4 linked regions of the Ovis aries genome follow. The protein of the gene in region 3 interacts with the protein of the main gene of each other region in a pairwise test. Links are inferred from orthologs where the notes say so. Each region holds a gene or a part of one and is shown on either strand. Other genes may lie near its edges. The genes, in order: TRIM10, MAGED1, TTC23 and CREBZF.

Evidence for each region.
Region 1: the proteins of TTC23 (region 3) and TRIM10 interact in binary tests that used the Homo sapiens proteins (3 or more experiments, as listed by UniProt). The two-hybrid records come from large-scale screens. The link is inferred for Ovis aries from reciprocal best matches to the Homo sapiens genes TTC23 and TRIM10.
Region 2: the proteins of TTC23 (region 3) and MAGED1 interact in binary tests that used the Homo sapiens proteins (3 or more experiments, as listed by UniProt). The two-hybrid records come from large-scale screens. The link is inferred for Ovis aries from reciprocal best matches to the Homo sapiens genes TTC23 and MAGED1.
Region 4: the proteins of TTC23 (region 3) and CREBZF interact in binary tests that used the Homo sapiens proteins (3 or more experiments, as listed by UniProt). The two-hybrid records come from large-scale screens. The link is inferred for Ovis aries from reciprocal best matches to the Homo sapiens genes TTC23 and CREBZF.

Annotation. Positions count from the first base shown.
Region 1 is NC_056073.1:27,848,527-27,853,371, reverse strand, and holds part of TRIM10 (tripartite motif-containing protein 10), read right to left. Parts: intron 4,747-4,845; coding exon 4,651-4,746; intron 4,135-4,650; coding exon 3,904-4,134; intron 3,169-3,903; coding exon 3,146-3,168; intron 2,814-3,145; coding exon 2,698-2,813; intron 1,531-2,697; coding exon 1,498-1,530; intron 1-1,497. UniProt on the Homo sapiens protein: E3 ligase that plays an essential role in the differentiation and survival of terminal erythroid cells. May directly bind to PTEN and promote its ubiquitination, resulting in its proteasomal degradation and activation of hypertrophic signaling.
Region 2 is NC_056080.1:53,607,851-53,611,449, reverse strand, and holds part of MAGED1 (melanoma-associated antigen D1), read left to right. Parts: coding exon 1-147; intron 148-798; coding exon 799-1,467; intron 1,468-1,599; coding exon 1,600-1,663; intron 1,664-1,879; coding exon 1,880-1,959; intron 1,960-2,155; coding exon 2,156-2,247; intron 2,248-2,481; coding exon 2,482-2,561; intron 2,562-2,652; coding exon 2,653-2,695; intron 2,696-3,005; coding exon 3,006-3,068; intron 3,069-3,599. UniProt on the Homo sapiens protein: Involved in the apoptotic response after nerve growth factor (NGF) binding in neuronal cells. Inhibits cell cycle progression, and facilitates NGFR-mediated apoptosis. May act as a regulator of the function of DLX family members.
Region 3 is NC_056071.1:6,835,663-6,841,179, forward strand, and holds the start of TTC23 (tetratricopeptide repeat protein 23), read left to right. Parts: upstream 1-1,938; 5' UTR 1,939-2,180; intron 2,181-2,224; exon of another isoform or gene 2,225-2,375; intron 2,376-5,517. UniProt on the Homo sapiens protein: Participates positively in the ciliary Hedgehog (Hh) signaling.
Region 4 is NC_056074.1:9,414,153-9,419,718, reverse strand, and holds the start of CREBZF (CREB/ATF bZIP transcription factor), read right to left. Parts: upstream 3,240-5,566; 5' UTR 2,993-3,239; coding exon 1,923-2,992; coding exon of another isoform or gene 1,919-1,922; exon of another isoform or gene 1,711-1,918; coding exon 1,695-1,710; 3' UTR 507-1,694; exon of another isoform or gene 1-506.

The sequences.
Region 1 (4,845 bases), on a different chromosome or scaffold from region 3:
ATTCCTGAACCTGTTAACGCCTGCTTCAGAGGATGTGTCCAGTTCAGTCGCTCAGTCGTGTCCGACTCTTTTCTGCGACCCCATGGAGTGCAGCATGCCAGGCTTCCCTGTCCATCGCCAACTTCCGGAGCCAACTCAAACTCATGTCCATCGCGTCAGTGATGCCATCCAACCATCTCATCCTCTGTCGTCCTCTTCTCCTCCTGCCCTCAATCTTGCCCAGCATCAGGGCGGTGCTGATGCTGACTTTTCCAATGAGTCAGTTCTTTGCATCAGATGGCCAAAGTATTGGAGTTCCAGCTTCAGCATCAGTCCTTCCAATGAATATTCAGGACTGATTTCCTTTAGGATGGACTGGTTGGATCTCCTTACAGTCCAAGGGACTCTCAAAAGTCTTCTCCAACATCACAGTTCAAAAGCATCAATTCTTCGGTGCTCAGCTTTCTTTATAGTCGAACTCTCACACCCATCCATGACTACTGGAAAAACCATAGCTTTGACTAGACAGACCTTTGTTGGTAAAGTAATGTCTCTGCTTTTTAATAGGCTGTCTGTTTTGGTCACAGCATTAGTTAGTTGGTTAGCGTGTTTGGACACGTGGGCTCTCATCTGGTTCTCTGCAGTCCCCTGAAAAGCACTTCTGCAGCCTGCAAACTGGCTGACGCCCAGAGCTGTGTGTGCCTGCTCTCATTTCCTCTGCTGACACATCACGTTCTATCCCTCCTGTACCTCAGAGGGCGGGGACCTCCCCCCACCCCCAGTCCAAACTTCATGATCACTCCCTGGGTGCATGTGACTCATATGCCCAGTCTTCTTCGCTCCTGTCAGGCTCCCTGACTCACCCACGGGGTATTCATTCTGCCTCAGGAATCTACAATCAGGCCGTCTGAGGGCCACTTTTTGACATCAAAACTATGCATAGTGTTACCTTTAGTATCCATAAGCTGAGACAAATACGTGAATTCTGATATGTCCATGAATTAGAGCCGCTTCCAAGAAGCCCATGACATCCCAGTGTCTTTGGCTGATAGACTAGGAACAATGGCCTTGAGAGGGGTCCAGTCTTTATTCCTTTCCTGCCCACAGGTTACACTCCTATCATCCATGAAACAATACCTGGGAGAGAGTGGGGGGTCCTGACAATTCTAAAAATGTTATTCTAAATCCAGATCAAAGTTCCCCTCACCCAGGAAGCCCTTCCCGATAGACCTTGGCCCAGGCTGATTTAATCTTTCTATCTCGTCAAGTGCAGATCAGAACCTGAACTTCTGTCAGGTACGTGGTATGAGTGTGTGCGTCTCTCCTACAGTCCTTATGAAGGCAGTGACATGTATCACTGCCATGTGTGACATTATGTGTGTATGTACATTTATTTTTATATATATGATATATATGTATTTGACTAGTACATTTTCCAGTGTGGAACCCGGCAAAATTATCCGTCCTTTTCAACTTTAGATTTCTCACTCCCTCCCCATACTGACAGAGGCAACTCACCTGGCTCATAATCCAACTCAAAGCTGAGTTTTTCTGTAAAGAGGAAGTAAAACAAGATGCTATTTCATTAGTCTCACAAAACCACAGAACATTCACTGATGAGGAAACTGAGGCCCCAGAAAGGGAAGGGACAAAGAGAAGAATGGCAGGTGGAACCTTCTAGACCAGTGGTTCTGAACTTGAACTTGCATCAGAGCCCCCGGACCACTTGTTTTTGATTCAAGTGGCCCAGGGTGGGGCCGAGATTTGCTTTTCTGGCAAGTTCCCAGGGCATGCTGATGCAGGCTGGGACTTCATTTTGAGCCTCACTGTCTAGCTCTGAGTAGGCAGAGACCATGTTTACCAACAATGCCTCACACAGAGCCCAGGACATAGTAAATGCTCAAGAAACATCTACTTAATGAACAAATAAGTGGGTTAATTTGTTTCTCATTCTGCTTGGAAATAATTTAGGGGAGAGTCAAAGGTCAGCCTTTGACGAGAGTAAAACTTCCTTCTCTGCTAGGCCACTTACTGGCAGGAAGTGGACTTAGGGGAAAACTCTGCTAAGGTGACTTTTTTTTGTAGGCAGGTCATATAGAACTAGGTGGTATCATTCATGATGTCATGTGGGATGAGGGGGAGGTGCTGGCAGCAAGCCACATTTCTGACTCTCATTTCAAACCCTCCAGTCCCTCACCTATCACCACTCCCTGTCCCGGAAAAGGGATCATGGTCCCCACATGGGCAGTTCAACTCTGAGGACCAGGCTAATGGGGTGGAGGATGGGGGAAAGCCAGGGAAAGGAGGAAGGAAAGTCAGCTAAGACAGGGCACAGAAAAATACTCTCAGTGGCTATTAATTAACAATCATAAAAAAGCTCATCATATATTACAAATGCCCCTGTGGCTTTTTAAAATTATTGACAGTGACCAATTTTTGTTAATCATTATCTTACATGTCACTTCATGACAAGTGATTAGATTGGTTTCATTATTTTTCCAAATAGTTAAAATTTTGTGGAAAGCTTCAGCTTTATTATCTCACTTCGTTGTCACATTATTCTGAAAGCAGATTTTATAAAGATCGGCAAATAAGGAAAACAAGGCACTGGAAAGGCTTGAGCCTTGTCAAAGGTCACACAAGCATAGGGAAGCAGGCATGGAGGCCACTCGTAAGCCCAGGCTTCATGGCCACCTGTGCTCCATGGGGTCCTCTTACCCAGAAACATCTTCATCTCCCTCCGCAGTGGGAAGGCTTGCTGGGGGAAGTCCCGAATCCTCTGGCCCAGCTCCGGAGATATAGCCACTGGTTTCCGGCACCTTCTGGTTTCACATCTAGGGGCACAGAAATGGTGGGGTCTGGGATTTATCCTCCTTAGCACTGCCCCCAGACTCAGTTGGTCATCTTCTAACTGAGCTTGGAGGTGCCAGTCCGCATGGGCAGACATCATTCCTCTAGGATGGACCCCCTTCCTCTCCTCACTGCCCACTTTCGGGTAATGCCATGCTGGGTGTGTACCTATGGTAATACGTGGAAATGCAATTGAGGATGTGAAAGTTTACATGTGAGTTTTATCTGTAAAGTGAAAACGTATGTTTGTTTGGCAATAACCAGGCATGTGGTGCCTGTCTGTTTATGTGTGTGGGGAAAGAAGAGACAAACTTACCTTATTAGAGTGCTTCTGATATCCTAGGAGAAAGAGAGAAAGCAGAGATTGGTTTCCACTTCTCCTTCCCACAAGAAAAGACAAAAATACTGTAATCTCAGCCCTAGATAGAAAAGGACACCAGATCCATGGACTCACAGCATTTTAGGGTTTATGAGGCTTCAGGGATCTTGGAGCCCAACTGCTTTATTTTATAAGATGTAGACAGTGAAGTGACCTGGCCCTCAGAGGCAAAGACAAGTCCCATCCCAAGGTCACCTGCTTCTCAGTCCCAAGTGTGTCCCCCTAAGTCATGCTGCCTTTGTGATGCTGTATTGGGACCCCAGTATCTCTCCTCCAGCAAGACAAAGTGACATAGACTAGAAAGAACATCCTGACTGGGGGGTGTGGCACAGAGAGTGGTTTGCCTTGAAAACAGCACCTGACATTTGTTTGCATAGTGCTTGATGCTTTGCAAAGTGCTACTTTCACTTGCATTTTACTGTGGGATCCTCACAAATAAATAAAGTATTTGGGAGATAAATAAAGCATCTTCCCTATCTGAATGGATGGTGGGATGAAGAGACCACAATCTTCGCAAAGTGACCCGGGAGCTCTGGGGGAAGCAAGGACTCTTAGAATGCAGAACTTGTGGTCCTGTGACCCATCTTGCACTTGGGGTACAAAGATCTGTGAGTGAAGAAGAGATGGCTCAGATGGTAAAGATGCCGCAAAGCCTAGGCGAGCACAGGGGGTGGGGGTGGGGGCTCAGCTCTCACCGTCAGGAGCTCCCTCGCCGGTCTCTCCTTCTTCTCCTCCAGTTCCTCAATGAGGGTGTTGAACCGGCCGATCTCCCCAGTGACCAGGACATCAAATTCATCCCGATGCTTCAGGATGTCCTCATCCAGCTTCTCCAGCTGGGCTAATAGGATGTTCTGTTGCTCTTCCAGGAACTGGCTCAGATGTGCAAACTCAGAAATCACCTTTTGTTTCTTGGTGGCCACCTGAGTCTGAGAGGGCAGGAGAAGAAAGAAGCCAGGAAGTTATTCCTCCTCTTCTTCCCCTTCCTTTTCCTTCTTTTTCCTTAATTCACTCCCATCTCCCTCCTGGCCCAGATCCATATCTTCCAAGGTTTGGTGGTAAAGTCAGAGTCCCCTAGTCTCTAGGTCCCTGGACAGACTTGGAACCACGGCGTGGTTTCCTTTCCACCTGGCCTGCCATTTCCGGGAGGAGATGTAAGGAGGGGGTGAGGAAACCTTACTTCCTGCCGTTTACCAAGTGTAACAACGTGCGTGTCACTAAGGGACAGTCGTTACAGCAATTCAGTGAGATAGTGACGATTTTTAATCTTCACTTCACAGGAAAATAAACAGAGCATAGAGAGCTGTTTGAGGTCATAGAGCTAATTTGTTTCAGGATTCAAACTCAGAAGGACTTCAAAGCCCCTTTATGCGATGTTTCCTTATTTCAGATAGGCACTGGAGCCAGAGGAAAGCAAGAGGGCTAAGGAAGGGATGATGACCTACCAGGAGGACTTGTATCCTTCGATTTTCCCTTGACTGGATTTCTTGAATCTCCTCTCTCTCTTTTCTTAGACATTCAAGACACTTCTGTATTTGTTCCTGGAAAGAAGGGGCATAAAATATCTAAGATGGAGGTGGGGGAGGGATAAATGAGAAGTTTGGGATTAGCAGATACAAGCTACCATATGTAAAACAGAT
Region 2 (3,599 bases), on a different chromosome or scaffold from region 3:
ATGGCCACTTCCTACGCTGACATAGAGGCTGACCCAAGCCCAGGTATCTGTGAATCTGATGGTGCAGCTGCACAGACATCAGCGGATGGTTCCCAGCCTCAGAATCTGGAGTCCAGGACTATAATTCGGGGCAAGAGGACCCGTAAGGTGAGATCCCTACTAGTTCTACTTTGCTTTGGGCTCTCCTTTCTTCTCTGAGGTGGTTCATTTGTTCTAAACAAGACAAAACTAAATATATATAATTGTCTGTATTCAACTACATTGTAGGGCATGATAAGGTAAATATGATGATTCTTGCTAGTCCACAGAATAATGGGGAGATGAGACATGGACCCGTAATATATACAGTCTGTGTGTAATTCATTTTACATTTTAAAAGTAGCCATGTGTTAGATCTTGGCCTAGGCACATTCACACAGGTTATCTCACTCATTAAATCTTCTCGGTACCTCATACCAGCTAGGGATCATAGTTTCAGTTTTACAGAGAAGGAAAATAAGTCCCAGAGAGGTGAAGTGACTTGAGTGATTTGTCCAGGGTGGTACAAGCAGAGCCAGTGATGGACATAGGAAGAAGAGAAGCCTCAGGCCCCACCCTTGGGTTGCTCCTGGCCTGGTTCAGAGATGAAACTCCTGCCTGGAAGACAGTGAAAGACAAGCCCAGGACTCAGGGTGACCATTGGCTAGTAGGTCAGGCTGTCACTACAGGTGAGGGTTTTAGGGGGCCTTCCTGAAATAGATACGGTGAGGACATAGAAACACTTGGTAACCCTGACCTTCCTTTTCTTTGATGATGCAGATTAATAACTTGAATGTGGAAGAGAGTAGCAGTGGGGATCAGAGGCGGGCCCCACTGGCTCCAGGGACCTGGAGGTCTGCACCAGTTCCAGTTACCACTCAGAGCCCACCTGGCGCACCCCCCAATGTGCTCTGGCAGACCCCACTGGCCTGGCAGAATCCATCAGGCTGGCAAAATCAGCCAACCAGGCAGACCCCACCAGCACGTCAGAGCCCCCCAGCAAGGCAGACCCCACCAGCCTGGCAAAACCCAGTTGCTTGGCAGAACCCAGTGATCTGGCCAAACCCTGTGATCTGGCAGAACCCAGTGATCTGGCCGAACCCCATTGTCTGGCCTGGTCCGGTTGTCTGGCCAAACCCACTGGCCTGGCAGAATCCACCTGGGTGGCAGACCCCACCTGGATGGCAGACTCCACCAGGCTGGCAAGGTCCTCCAGATTGGCAAGGCCCTCCCGACTGGCCACTACCCCCTGACTGGCCACTGCCACCCGACTGGCCACTCCCCACTGACTGGCCGCTCCCACCTGACTGGATCCCCACTGATTGGCCAGTTCCACCAGACTGGCAAAACCTGCGCCCCTCACCAAACCTGCGCCCCTCTCCTAATTCGCGTGCCTCACAGAACCTGGGTGCCTCACAGCCCCGAGATGTGGCCCTTCTTCAGGAAAGAGTAAGAACTGTAACTTCAGTTGCTTCTCCCCACCCACCCTCACCTCTTTTCTTTGTTGTACTTCTATCTATAATTCAACCAAGTGTTCTGTCAATATCTTATAACTCTAATGAGTTCCTTTTTCCCTCTCAGGCTAATAAGTTGGTCAAGTACCTGATGCTTAAAGATTACACAAAGGTGCCCATCAAGCGCTCAGGTAGGCATTCAGTACCCTCTCCCAGAGATCTGCCCTTCCCCTCACCCCATTCTCTATGGATATCTCTGTGCTTATATGTCCCCTCCCCTTCAATCCCCTCTTTCCATGGGTGAGTCTTCCTTTTTCGCCTACTGTGTTCCCCTGGGCAGGGCTGGCAAAAATGCCACAGCTCTGTGGCCCCTGCTCAGCTCAGATGCTCCCTCCTCTCACCTGCAGAAATGCTAAGGGATATCATCCGTGAATACACTGATGTGTATCCAGAAATCATTGAACGTGCGTGCTTTGTCCTGGAGAAGGTGAGAAGGCAACCCTGAAGGACAGAATGATGGGGAAGAGTTTGCGAGGAGGGGCTTTGATAGATATTATGAGAAAGTCTTGGTTTAAAGATTCATGGGATTCCTATTGGGAGTTTGATGCAAATCACAGGGAGTGAATGTGGGTATGCTTATGCTAGATTTTGTAATTTCATAGTCTGTTTTCTTGCCCCTGTAGAAATTTGGAATTCAACTGAAAGAAATTGACAAGGAAGAACACCTGTATATTCTCATCAGCACCCCTGAGTCCCTGGCTGGCATACTAGGAACGTAAGATGGGAAAGGAGGGGAAACATTGCCATTCTCAGTGGCGGTTTTTTCCTAGGAGTTTCAAGTAGATCAGGATTCAGGGTCACATAGCAGGTCATGGGCAGAGTTGGGGTAGAGTTGTTTCCTAGCTGAGGAATACTAGGAAAGCTGGATGGGTAAACTGCCTGGGGTGCCTGTGTAAATGCCTGCTGAAAATATATTCCTTTTTTTAAAAAAAAAAAAAAACTTCTTTAGGACCAAAGACACACCAAAACTGGGTCTCCTTCTAGTGATTTTGGGTGTCATCTTCATGAATGGCAACCGTGCCAGTGAAGGTGAGTGGCCGGGCCAGCAGCTGGGGGTTGGCTGCCGCCTGATTTCCATGTTCATTTTCCATCCCTTGTCTCCCCTTGCCTCCCATTGCAGCTGTCCTCTGGGAGGCACTACGCAAGATGGGACTACGTCCTGGGTATGATTGGGCTCTCTCATCTCTTGCCTGTTATATGATTCTTTGGCAACAGAGGATGGTTCCAGGATTGCATCAACCTGGTAGTCTAAGGGAATTGGTTTGGGGAGATACAGAGCCCAAGAATGTGACCTGGGTGGATGGGGAAATAGTCCTGGTCTCTGCTTCTTCTCTTATCTCTGACTTCTGTGCTGGAAAACTGTTTTCTTTCCTTTGGGCAATGTCATAGTCTCTAATTATGAATCCCCCCCCCCTTTTTTTTTTGTTTTTTTTTTGTTTTTTTTTGTTTTTGTTTTTTTTTTTTTGCTCTCAGAGTAAGACATCCCCTCCTTGGAGATCTGAGGAAGCTTCTCACTTATGAATTTGTAAAACAAAAGTAAGCGATGCCTAAGTGGCTTGTCTTGTCCTCATGAATTCTGTGTGCTGGTCAGCCTCAGAAAGCCCTTCCCATGCTGCTCATTTCTTATATTAACTATACCTATGCATATGCATACATATATACTCAGGAATATTTACTGAGTATATTCCTTGTGGCTGAATTTTCCTGCAGTATAGTTATCTTGCAAGTGAAGCTTGTCCACCACACCCACAGTAGATATTCCTAAGGCTGGGTTAGCAGAGGCTTTGCAATGGGCCTATCTGTGGTTCAGTAACAAGATTGTAACAACCCGGAGTCAGAACTGTGGCAGAGGGGGTGAAAAAGTGTTGTCCTTTCTATGACTCTACATAAGTCATCCTCTAGTCCTAGGTGACTAGTGTAGAAACACAGGAATTTGAAGGCCTAATTATTAGAGGGTAAATAATCTGTGTTTAGGAATGAGACTGGAGGGAGTTGCTACCTGAAATCTGAGGTGTCAGAATCTCGGATTATTTTGCATTGATGGACTCTCATTTTGGCTGAGTAGAA
Region 3 (5,517 bases):
AAAGGATTTCACAGACTCGGTGAAAGGATTCTGCGACCACCTAGGGCTAGGAGGGCCCGGCGGCAGTGGCGACCCGAGGCCCGGGTGGGCCCGCTCGGGCCGGGGTCCACTTGCTGCGGCCCGACGCCTCTACCAGGCTCGGCCTGCCTGGCCAGCGGCCGGGCCAGAGGGCACTGCTACGTGAGACATCCGAAGCAGCAAAGCACCACTCACCTCTGCCGGCGGAGCCAGCGCTCCCGAGCTGAGGGGCGCCGGACTGCTAGCCCGGGCTCGGCAGGCGGGGCGGAGCGCCGGCCGCGACGGGGCGGGGCGCGGGCGAAAGCGGGGCGGGACGGGGCGGGACCCTCTCTTCAGAGGTTTGGGGGAGGAGTGAGCCCGGGAGAGGAAGCTCGCGATAATACGCCCCTGTGGTCGCCGTCTTACGATAGGTCGGGCGAGATGCTCGTTTTCCAAGCGACGCGTCTATTGGTCAAAACTGCGGCTTCTCTGCGACTGCACCCGCCTCCGGCTCGGTCCTTGCTTCCGGCTCTGGCTTCGAGGGTTACGGTTGAGATGGAGGTTTGTGCTCAGAGTTTTGAGAGGGTGGTTTAGCTGGCTCCGGCCTCAGCGACCGTCAGTAATTTATCAGTTCTTTTGTTCATACGTTCACTGACGCACTTGTCCCCGTATTCAATACATACGTTGAGAAATTACAAGAATAACACCCAGTGTGTACCAGGCAAGGGTCTAAGATCTGTGCACAGGTTATCTCACTTAACTTCATGGCAATCCTATGACACAGATACTATTATTGTACTCGTTTGACGGAGGAACAACTGAGACCCGGTGGTTTTCTGTAATATGGCCAAGGTTAGTGATCAAGTAGTAAGCTTATTAAAGCACAGTATAAAAAGTCAGTGCGCGCTGGCAAGTTCGTTCCAAACTTGAGGCGGTAACCCAGTCTCTGCTCTTGAAATACTTGAAGTGTGCTGCGAGAAACGATCGTTAAAAGGACACTAACAATTTAGTGAGTAAAATACTCTGGCATTTCCTAGCATGACTGAGTCGTCTATCAATAAATATTTAAGAATATTCCCGTGTCAGCAGAAAGTCATAAAAGGAAGAATCTTTCATGCTGGTTAAAAGTAAAAAAAAAAAAAAAATCCGAGCATTGTTAGGGAACAGTACAAAATACTTTTTAAAGTTCCTCGCTTGTTAATATGACAACGTTTCTTCTGAAATGAAGTTTTAAAAAAACTTCCTCTTCAGAAACCACTATTATTCTTTGAAAAGCTTGATGTTGATTAAACTACTGGTTCATTGTCAAGCAATCTACTTAATTACTGTTAGAGGTAACCTACAGAGCAGACTTATACTAAGTAAAAATAAGACCTATGGCAAAATAACGCCTACCATCTGAAACTGACAGAAAAGTAGCCATGTGATTCTTTGTATTAATATATTATCCTGTGTGTGCCCTGCTCAGTGGTGTCGGACTCTGCCACCCCACCCACTATAGCCTGCCAGGCTCCTCTGTCCATGGAATTTTCCAGGCAAGCATACTGGAGTGGGTTGCCATTTCCCCACCTAGTGATCGAACCTGCGTCTTCAGAATCGCAGGCAGATTCTTTACCACTGAGCCACCTCGGAAGCCCATATTATCCTATGGACACTCTTAAAAGTTGTCTGAATTTGTCAAATGTAAGTTTCACACTTTGCCTCACTCAAAACAAGGGGGGCGGAGGCAATCCTCTATTCCAAACCAGTAATTTGGCAGTCTTTGGTAAACTTTAACATCAACGGGCAGTGATACCACTTTAAGAAAATTCCAAAGAAAAGACCAACCCCGTTTTAAAAATCCCACCTCTGGCTCCCAAGGATTGGGTTGCAAACTTAAACAAAATACTCTCCTCCACTCCCTATTGGTGCATAATCTATCATTCATTCTCCCTGGAATTTAGTGTGGTACCAGGTCGCTTTACGGGAAAAGACTGCTCCAATTTAGCCTGGAATTACCCAACTTTAGACTTTTATCACGGTGCTCAATCTGTAAAAAGAATCACCAAACTGATAAAACCAGTACAGCGTGGATCAAACTGTAATCAGGGTGCCGAGACAACTGTCATTCGAGCGAAAAAGAAACGGACAACTCTCAAGCCCACAGGGTAACTGACAAAGGATTTTACGACACAGTGAGAGATGTGAGAGTTAAACTTTTCTGATTTTTTTTTTTTTCTTTTGCTAGCTTTAAAGGAGTAGATGTCAAAGGAAAAGGAAATAAACTGCTGGCATAATGCAAGAATGGCAGGAGGAGAGTTTTTCAGAGGGTGTTTTTCTTTTAGAAAGAACATTATTCGCAGATTAGCAGTGGATTTTTGAATAGTAAAGGGAACAAGGTAATAAAATTTACTAAAGATTATTTTATACTCCAAGAATCTGTGGTTTGTTATTGCTTTAATATGGATTTAGAGGAACACTTAATAATGTTATTGTAATTATTAGGGGAAATAGATATTTTTCTTTGTGTATTATCATACCTAGCATAATAGGCAATCCAACTGTTAAAGTTATCATCTTTGGACCCAAGTTTTGTGTATATATGTAGATTTGGAGATTCAGGGACATATCTGCTAATGACAAAGGAAAACATAATATTGGTATATGAAATAGAATCACAAGGTGATGAATGTAAGGATAAATTCTCAAAAATGAAGTCCAGCATTTATATTTTCAAGGATGATATTTTCACTAAAACTAAAATATAAATTCAGGAAATACTGATAAATGAGGTTGATGTATATTAAAGCTTAATTTGGAATAGCAGCATTTTAAAAAAATCCAGCCCAATGTAAAATTACAAAATATAAAAACGTAATGATTCTTCAAACATTAATTCAGCTAATAAATATACCTAGTGGCACATTTATTCCTCTACAAGGCCTAGCTCAAGAGTAGGTATGCAAAAATATTTCTTGAGTGTCCTCTATTAATCCATATATGGGGATATAAAATAATGAAATACACTCTCTAAAGAAGCTCATACTCTGTCTCCCTGGGAGAAGGAGACTCAAAAAGTTTAATGAAGACTTCTAGATAGTTCTTGGTGCGTAGATGACTGTTGTAGACCATAGGTTCTTCAGGTGCTTAGGCCAGTAGAGCAGAAATATTCAGGGAGAGTTTCACAGTGGGGTTAAGACCCATTTGGGGCTTGAGCAATGGGCAAAATTTCAGTAGAAATTGTGTAGAAATTTCAGTCAAAAAAGAAAAGAAATAGCACCCCAGGTAGTGGGTGAGTTGTTACTGAATATGTGCAGCATAAAGAATAATTAACTCTGAGCAACAGAAGTTTCATTTGGGGATCTTGTTTTAATCTTCAAAAAAGAAAAAAGCATGAGAATGTTACACAGAAAGTCAAAATTGCCAGAATTAAGGAGTTTGGTCCTGGATTTTAAAAGTAATATTTGAAAAAGATAAGACTTTCAAGAACAGAGACCAGGAGCTAAAATATTAATACTATAAATAATGGAATGTAGATTGGTAGCAGCCTCATGAGACATTTTCTCCAAATATCATCACATGGGAATAACATAAATCTTGATTCATTTCTTTCTTTTATTTTAAAGCACTGATCTTGTTTTTTGTTTAGCACTATTTATTATTATGTGTAATAATATATAACAAGATACTATGTATAGATGAGGTGATAGTTGTGGTGCTATAAAACAGTAAAAGTGATTGTTTACATTGCATCGTTTTTTGCTCCTTTTCCCTCAGAATTTACCTGTATTTCTTGGTTCTATTTAACTGATTTGAGGGAATGTCAACCAAAAAAAAAGTTGTGACTGAAGAATACCATGGGAGGATGGGAGATATTCGTACTCAGACTGTAGGCTTTCACGTGACCTGTTTCTCTGAGACAAAATTCAATTCCATATACTCCATGAGCTGCTACCATGTACCAGATGATATCCTTCCAGTGGTGGGGGGTGGGGAGGGGAAAAGGTGAATCAAGGACTCCACCTCCACTCCAAAAAGCAAAGTGCTTCAGGGATACCAAGCAGAATATTTGCCTCCTGCTTCAAAATTTGCTTCAGAGAATCTGAAGGTCATCTATCCTAACTTCTTGATTAGCAGTTCTTAATCAGTTAGATGGAGAAGGATGTTGTCTCTAGCTGTGGAAAAGAATCCTGAGACAAGGCCCCTTGATGGCAGGTGTGGCAGACTGCGATGTTCACCAAGTATTCCATTTACTCCCCTGGGTATGTAGCCCTCTTTGCAGTTAGGGAGCAAATGAAATGTTAGTGCAGGTGAGTTGGGTCATGTATGGGCGATGATAATGAAAAGCCCATGCACAGTTTTTCCACCTCTGTTACTCTGCCATGACTCTTGTTGATGTACAGTTAAACCTTGGTCAACCTAGGTCTCTTGAGAGACTCTGGATCAAACATTCCTACTCCCCACCTCCATCTACACCCACTACTAAATCAAGAGGGTCTGTAGCACATAGCAGTTAGTATCTTACCTCATCATAGCCTAATAAATGATTCTGACTACCTAAGACAACTTTTTCCCTGGAGATGTTGACGTTTCATGTAAGTTTTCTTAAGGAAAAAATGCCCTAATCAACTGCGTTTCATCTATCAAGTGGATGATATGTTTGGGGAAAAGTCATCCTGTAAAGATGGTTTAATTTTCTGTCCAGTAAACATTTATTGAGGCCTATTAGGTGTCAGGCACTAATGCCATGTGACTCATCTATGTGGAGAGCCAGAATATTAAGATTGGTTTTCAAACTTTTGGGAACCTCTGTCATATTGTTTTTGTGGATCAGGGCTTCCTTCCCTATCTTATAAAAGTCTTGTAGTTAGAAGATTTATTTATAAAAGAATTACATATAAAATGGCATGGTGGTTTCATATCTATTTTTTAACAGTAAGGTATAATTTACATACTATAAAACTCACACTAAGGATATAACTCAATGATTTTTTTAAAGAAAATTTACAGAGTTGTATAGCTAGCACTACATTCCAATTTTAGAAAAATGTCCATCACTGTAAAAAGATACCTCATGCCCATTTGCAAGCACTCCTCATTCTTACCCCAACCCCGGCCAATCAATAATAAATTTTCTGTCTCTATAGACTTGCCTTTTCTGGACATTTAATACAGATGGAATCATGCAATATGTGATATTTTGCATCTTGCTTCTTTCACTCAGCATAAGGTTTCTGAGACTTAACCATGTTGTCATATGTATTGGTCTGTCATTCCTTTTGTTTTTTAATGAAGTATAGTTGATTTAGAATATTAGTTTTCAAGTATACAACATAGTGATTCAGGATTTTTATAGATTATACTCCATTTAAAGTTATTATAAAATAATGACTTTATTTCTCTGTGCTGTGCAATGTATCCTTGTTGCTTGATACATAGTAGTTTATATCTCTTAACCCCATACCCTTATCTCACTCCTCCCCACTTTCCCCTCTGCAGTGGTAACCACTGATTTGTTCTCTATATTTTTAAGTGTGTTTC
Region 4 (5,566 bases), on a different chromosome or scaffold from region 3:
TCAATTCAAGGCTTCTGTTTCAAAAAGCTACATTTAACATATTCCATAAAGATAGCACAAATTAGTCATTTCAAATAATTTTTCCAACTACTTTTGGTTTATATATATTATATATTATTCAGTAGGCACTAAAAATCCATGCAGCTGCATTGTGAGGGGCTTGCTCCTGCACTTAGGTATAAGCAGGTTCATCACTCCAGGTTGTGAGTTTGGCTACTATCCGTATTCATGCTCAAGTGCAGTAGATGATTTTACAAAATATGCTGTAATGCACTGGAAACCAGAGACCAAGTTAGGTCTCAGAGTGTATTATCTAGCAACAAAACATTTACAGTTGTGCAAGAACAAGATTCCATTTTCATAACCAAATAACAACAAAATAAAACATTTTATGTGTAAGATAACTTACATCTTTGGACTGCTGGAAAATACTTTTTAATTATGAACATTTTAAAATAAAAGCAGAAGCCCTGATATTACCTCTTTTTCCTCATTTCTTATACTACCTTTTAAAATAAAGCAGGAAATGTGGCCAGCAGCTGGTCCCGTCTCTTCTGCCCCAACAGCTGTATCCACTTTAGCACAAAGAAAAACAAGGATGCTAAATACGTATATACTTTATCAAACAGTGATGTTTCACAAAGAATTTCTTCATGTCCCGTACATTGAAGGACATCATGGCTAAATCTATATACAATCGGATGACAGAGTACTTCAAAGGAAGACTGTGTCCCAACTTTGGAAAAGTGTCAATCGTGTCATTAAGTAGGACAAATACCTTTGAAATATGGAGAGTAAGATTCTTTGTGAAGCCTCACTTTACACGTTTTCATTCACATTTCATAACCTTCAATATCTAATCATACATAAATTTAACCTAAAAATTTAATACAACAAAAATAAAGGTGTTCAACAATTTCTTCATACTCAGTGATAGGGTAATCACTGTGCTGGTCCTCAAAGAAACATTTCATTAACCATTCTTATTCCTCCTTCAAGTAACTAACACAGGAGTCTGGTGTGCATGTTAATTTCCAACTTCTCTAATGGTGAAATATAAAAATCTATTAATCTGAATAGACTGTATGTCTAGATCTATTAAAACTGAAAGGCATTCTTATATTTAAGAGATTTCTGTCATCTCCAGCAAAGTAACTGTCACATTTGTGCATGCCCCAAGTACTTATTGTCAACCTCTGAAAAGTTGCTCTAAAATTGGAATTCCAATTTGCACCTTGTACAACTCGGAAGTTCCATTCAACTTCACCTGTGTCACTGTCTCCAAACTGTATCTCTATTAGCAGCTTTCAGTGTACAGTTGGAACCGATGTCATCCAAGGCCATGTCCACACTGGGGACAGAAGAGCTAGGTACACGCAAGTCTGAACAAGGGGACACATTAACAGCTATTTCAACCAGAAGAAGCATCTTGAGTACATTATTGACCAGCACAAGTCTGTTTCCAGGGTGGACAGGGCCCAAATTAGATTCCCCTCCCAACTTCCGAAAAAGAAAACAACAAACAAACAAACAACAAAAAAAAAATCACACACACGCACAAATTGAGATGTTGCCCATTAAAGTAGACTAAGCAGCAGAGCATGAGCGTTACGTGAAGAGATGGGTCCTTACCAGGTGGTGAGGCGGGAACGACTGTTCTGTAACCCCTACAACGGAGCCTGGCAGGAAGGAAATCACCTAAAAAAGAAACTGTCAGAGAGATTTAATAGTCACATGTTATCATTAGGAGTTGGTTACAGTGTCACATTCATGCTTTTAGCTAAACACTTAAAGATTCAATATTACTTTTTTTTCCTTCTCTGAAATGTGTCCAGTGACGATGTCCCACTAAGGTGTTTTACATGATGTAAGGGAGTTGAAAGGGGATAAACGCGGATAAAGAGCGGATTACTTGACCCTACATTTTAAGAGAAGACGACGCCTTCCGGGCGCACGCCGAGCAGAACTCCACCGACACCTTATCCTTGTCCACATGCAGACACACTCCTCCGGCCGAGTCGTCCTGGTCTTCCAACGGGTCCGGCTGCTGCTTCCCCACAGGCAGAGCGTAGTCGTGGTCCCCGGCGGGCGAGTCCCTGAAGAGCGAGGTGGTCAGCCGCAGTCCCACGCCGCTCAGCCGGCTCAGCAGGCGAGCCAGTCCGGTCTCGTTGGCTAAGACGGCCCGAAGGTAGCGACTCTCCTCCTGCAGTGCCTGCACGCGCTTGCCCAGCTCCCGGTTCTCGGCCCGCAGCTCCTGGTTCTCGGCGGCCAGCCCCCGCACTCGGCTCTCCAGACCCATCACGTATTCCTTCTTCTTCAGCCGGTTGAGGCGGGCAGCCGCCGCCGCCGCCTTCCGGGGACTCTTTGTCGCCGCCTGGTTGCTGTCGTTGCCGCCGCCGCTGCCGCCGCCTCCGCCGCCGCCTCCCGGGGACTTTCTCCGCCTCTTTTCGCCGCCGCCACTGTCACTGCCGCTGCTGCAAGCTCCGATGCCGTTTAACAGCCTCTGCAGCAGGTCCGAAAAGCGCTGCATCTCGGCAGCCGCGGCCTCGTCGTCGTCGTCGCCTCTCCACAGGCCACCGCTGTCCGAGCCTCCGCCGGACGAGGAGAGGGGCCCCGGCGAGCTGAGCCCGGGCTCCAGGTGCCAGTCCGGCTGCCGGGGGTCCAGCAGGTCCGCCAGTTCCAGGCCGGACAGAAAGTCCATGTCCTCCGTCTCCTCCCCGGGGACGCTGGCCATCGCCTCCTCCTCCATCTCCTCAGGCGAGGGCGCGCGCGCGGCCACGCCGCCGCGGCCCCCCCTCCCGGCCTCCGACTCGCCCTCGTCGCCGCGCGGCTGTCTGCGGCCGGGAGATCCGGCCGCCGCCGTCCCCTCGTCCTCCGCCGCCCCGGTCAGGTCCGGGGGCAGCGAGCAGGTCGCGACGGGCGCCGGGCTCTCACTACGCGTCGGGGAGTCGCTGCACGAAGCCGCCAGCAGTTTAGTCAGGCTATGCCTCATGGGGCCCGGCGGCGGGCCCACGTAGGCCCCGGGCCCTCAGATCGGGCCTCGCGGGTCCCAGGGACCCAGAACGGGTAGCCGGGGAGCAGGCCAGAACGAAAGAAAGGGGAAGGTCCGCGTCGCCTCCCGCCCCCGCTTGGCTAGTCGACCCCCCGCGCCGGGGCGGGGGGCAGGGAAGGGAGCTGGAAGCAGCGAGGCCCAGCGATGACTCGACCGCGCCACCCAGACAACGGCCTGGCCGGAAGTCAGTGGATCTCGTTCCAGCCCCTCCCACCGCATTTCGCGCTCCACTGGGCTCTAGTATCGCGAGAGTTCGGTAGACCGGGCGTATTTCCAGATCTGCAGTGATGTCATAGTAACAGCGGCAAAAATAACAACAAACCAGGGATTTATTGGAACGGTGGTCTACCCTCTCGGCCCTCGCTTCTCTGTCCTCTGTATTCTAGCTTCCACCTGCAGTGAAGCAACTCTCGCTCAGAACTGATCGATACCACATCTATGAATAATCAAAGTTATCCTGGAATTTAAGACTGCTGATCAAATCCTTTTTGAAATTGCCCCGCTCCCTTACGCTATAGTACAAGATGGTTTCATTCAAACACTTAAATAGTACTAGAAGAAAAAAGAGGTAAATAAGTCATTCTTATGTAATGTTTCCAAATTGTTTAAAAAATTTACAAATAAACAGAATATGTGAAAGAGTATTCTAATTCAACGATACAAACCAATACCTAGACTCAACAATTAACAGTTTGCCATATACACTTTATCTGTATATAAATGTTTGTAAAACTTTTTGCTGAATTATCCCAAAGTTTGAAACAAAACACACCACCTCAACATGCTTCCGTATGCATCTTTAAAAATAACATTCTCTTTCATAATCATACTACTATTATCAGGTCTGGAGAAAATTAACAATCTTGTTAATATTACCTATTACACATATCATATTCAAAATTTGTTCAGCATTCTTCAAAAATAATCTTTTATAGCAGATGTGTTCTTTTGAGCCAGGATCCAATCACAAACCACTTCTTGCATTTGTTATGTTCCCCCGCCCCCCATTTGTCAAACTAGAACACCCCCTTTTACATTTCACATTGGCTTTTTGGAAAAAACAAAGTCAGTTGTCTTGAAAAATCCACCACAATCTGGATTTGTCTGTTTCCTCATGGTGGTGTTTATATTGTTCCTTAAAACCCACAAGGATTTCAGGTTTGAAGCAGTTCACAAATACACTAAAAAAACAGTGAAATAACTCACATTTTTACAAAGCAAGGTCAGTGAAAATACAGATGAAAAAGATAAGGAGTTCTAAAAGGAGGAAAGGTTTGTTTCAGAATCGGATGGACATAAAATCTTACTCATGTTACTCATGTTGAGCTAGTTCAGTAGACTAAGCTTCTTGGTAACCCAAACAAACAAACTTTCCTTTATTTGCTTATAAGTATACATGAATTCCTTAACTGCTTTTCCTGTTCTCACATCTTAAAGAAATTTTTCAATGGGATACTGCATAAAGTAGCAGATAACCTCACCAATAGTTTCCTTTATTTGGCTGTTTCTTAGAAGGATTCAAAGCAAGTTCCAGGAAATTTGGACACTAATAGGTCCCAAACACAGGGTAGGCTTTGATAATTATTTGTTGAATGAATGAAGAAGGTTTCCAACTTTTAACTGAAGGCATTGCATTAAAATTCAATTAAAAACGATTCTGCAAGGGACACAAATAAGCATGACCTGTGGTATCTAGACATGCGTTTGACCAAGCTCCAGGAGTTGGTGATGAACAGGGATGCCTGGTGTGCTGCAGTCCATGGGGTCACAAAGAGGCAGACACGACTAAGTGACTGAACTAACTGACTGATGGTATCTAGAAGAAAAAATTAGTGGCCTCCAGGTAACTCCTTAACCTTCCCATTAGGAAAAGAAAGAAAGGGAAAAGTGAAGTTGCTCAGTCGTGTCTGACTCTTTGCGACCCCATAACCTTTAGCCTATCAGACTCCTCTGTCCATGGGATTTTCCAGGCAATAATACTAGAGTGGGTTGCCATTTCCTTCTCCAGGGGATCTTCCCGACCCAGGGATCGAACACGGGTCTCTACCATTGCAGGCAGATGCTTTACCCTCTGAGCCACCAGAGAAACCCCATTAGGAAAGGTTTTGCAAAAGTAGAACAGCAAACAGTTCAAGATGATAAATTTTCTGGCATACTTTAACAGGTGTTTTGTATGGCTGGTCATCCAATCGAACTGTATTTTCTCCTAAGGCAAAATCAAGATCATGGATTGATTTATCATTTTTTCCCTAAATTACAAGATTTTGGTTTAAATATACACGGTTTAAGAGCCTCTATATTGAATTAAGAGAAAAGTAAAAAACTGAGAGAGGGGAGTTTTTACAAGTGTAGCCTCAGAAGACAAAAAAGCAGCTGAAGCAGAAACGACCTTCCCTCCCTTTCATCATTCCTCTCCTCTCATTCTCTCCTTCTTCACAGTTGGTTTTTTTTTTTCTTTTCTGGTTATAATGATCACTGTAAAAGATTCAGACAGTGCAGAAATATACAAATAAG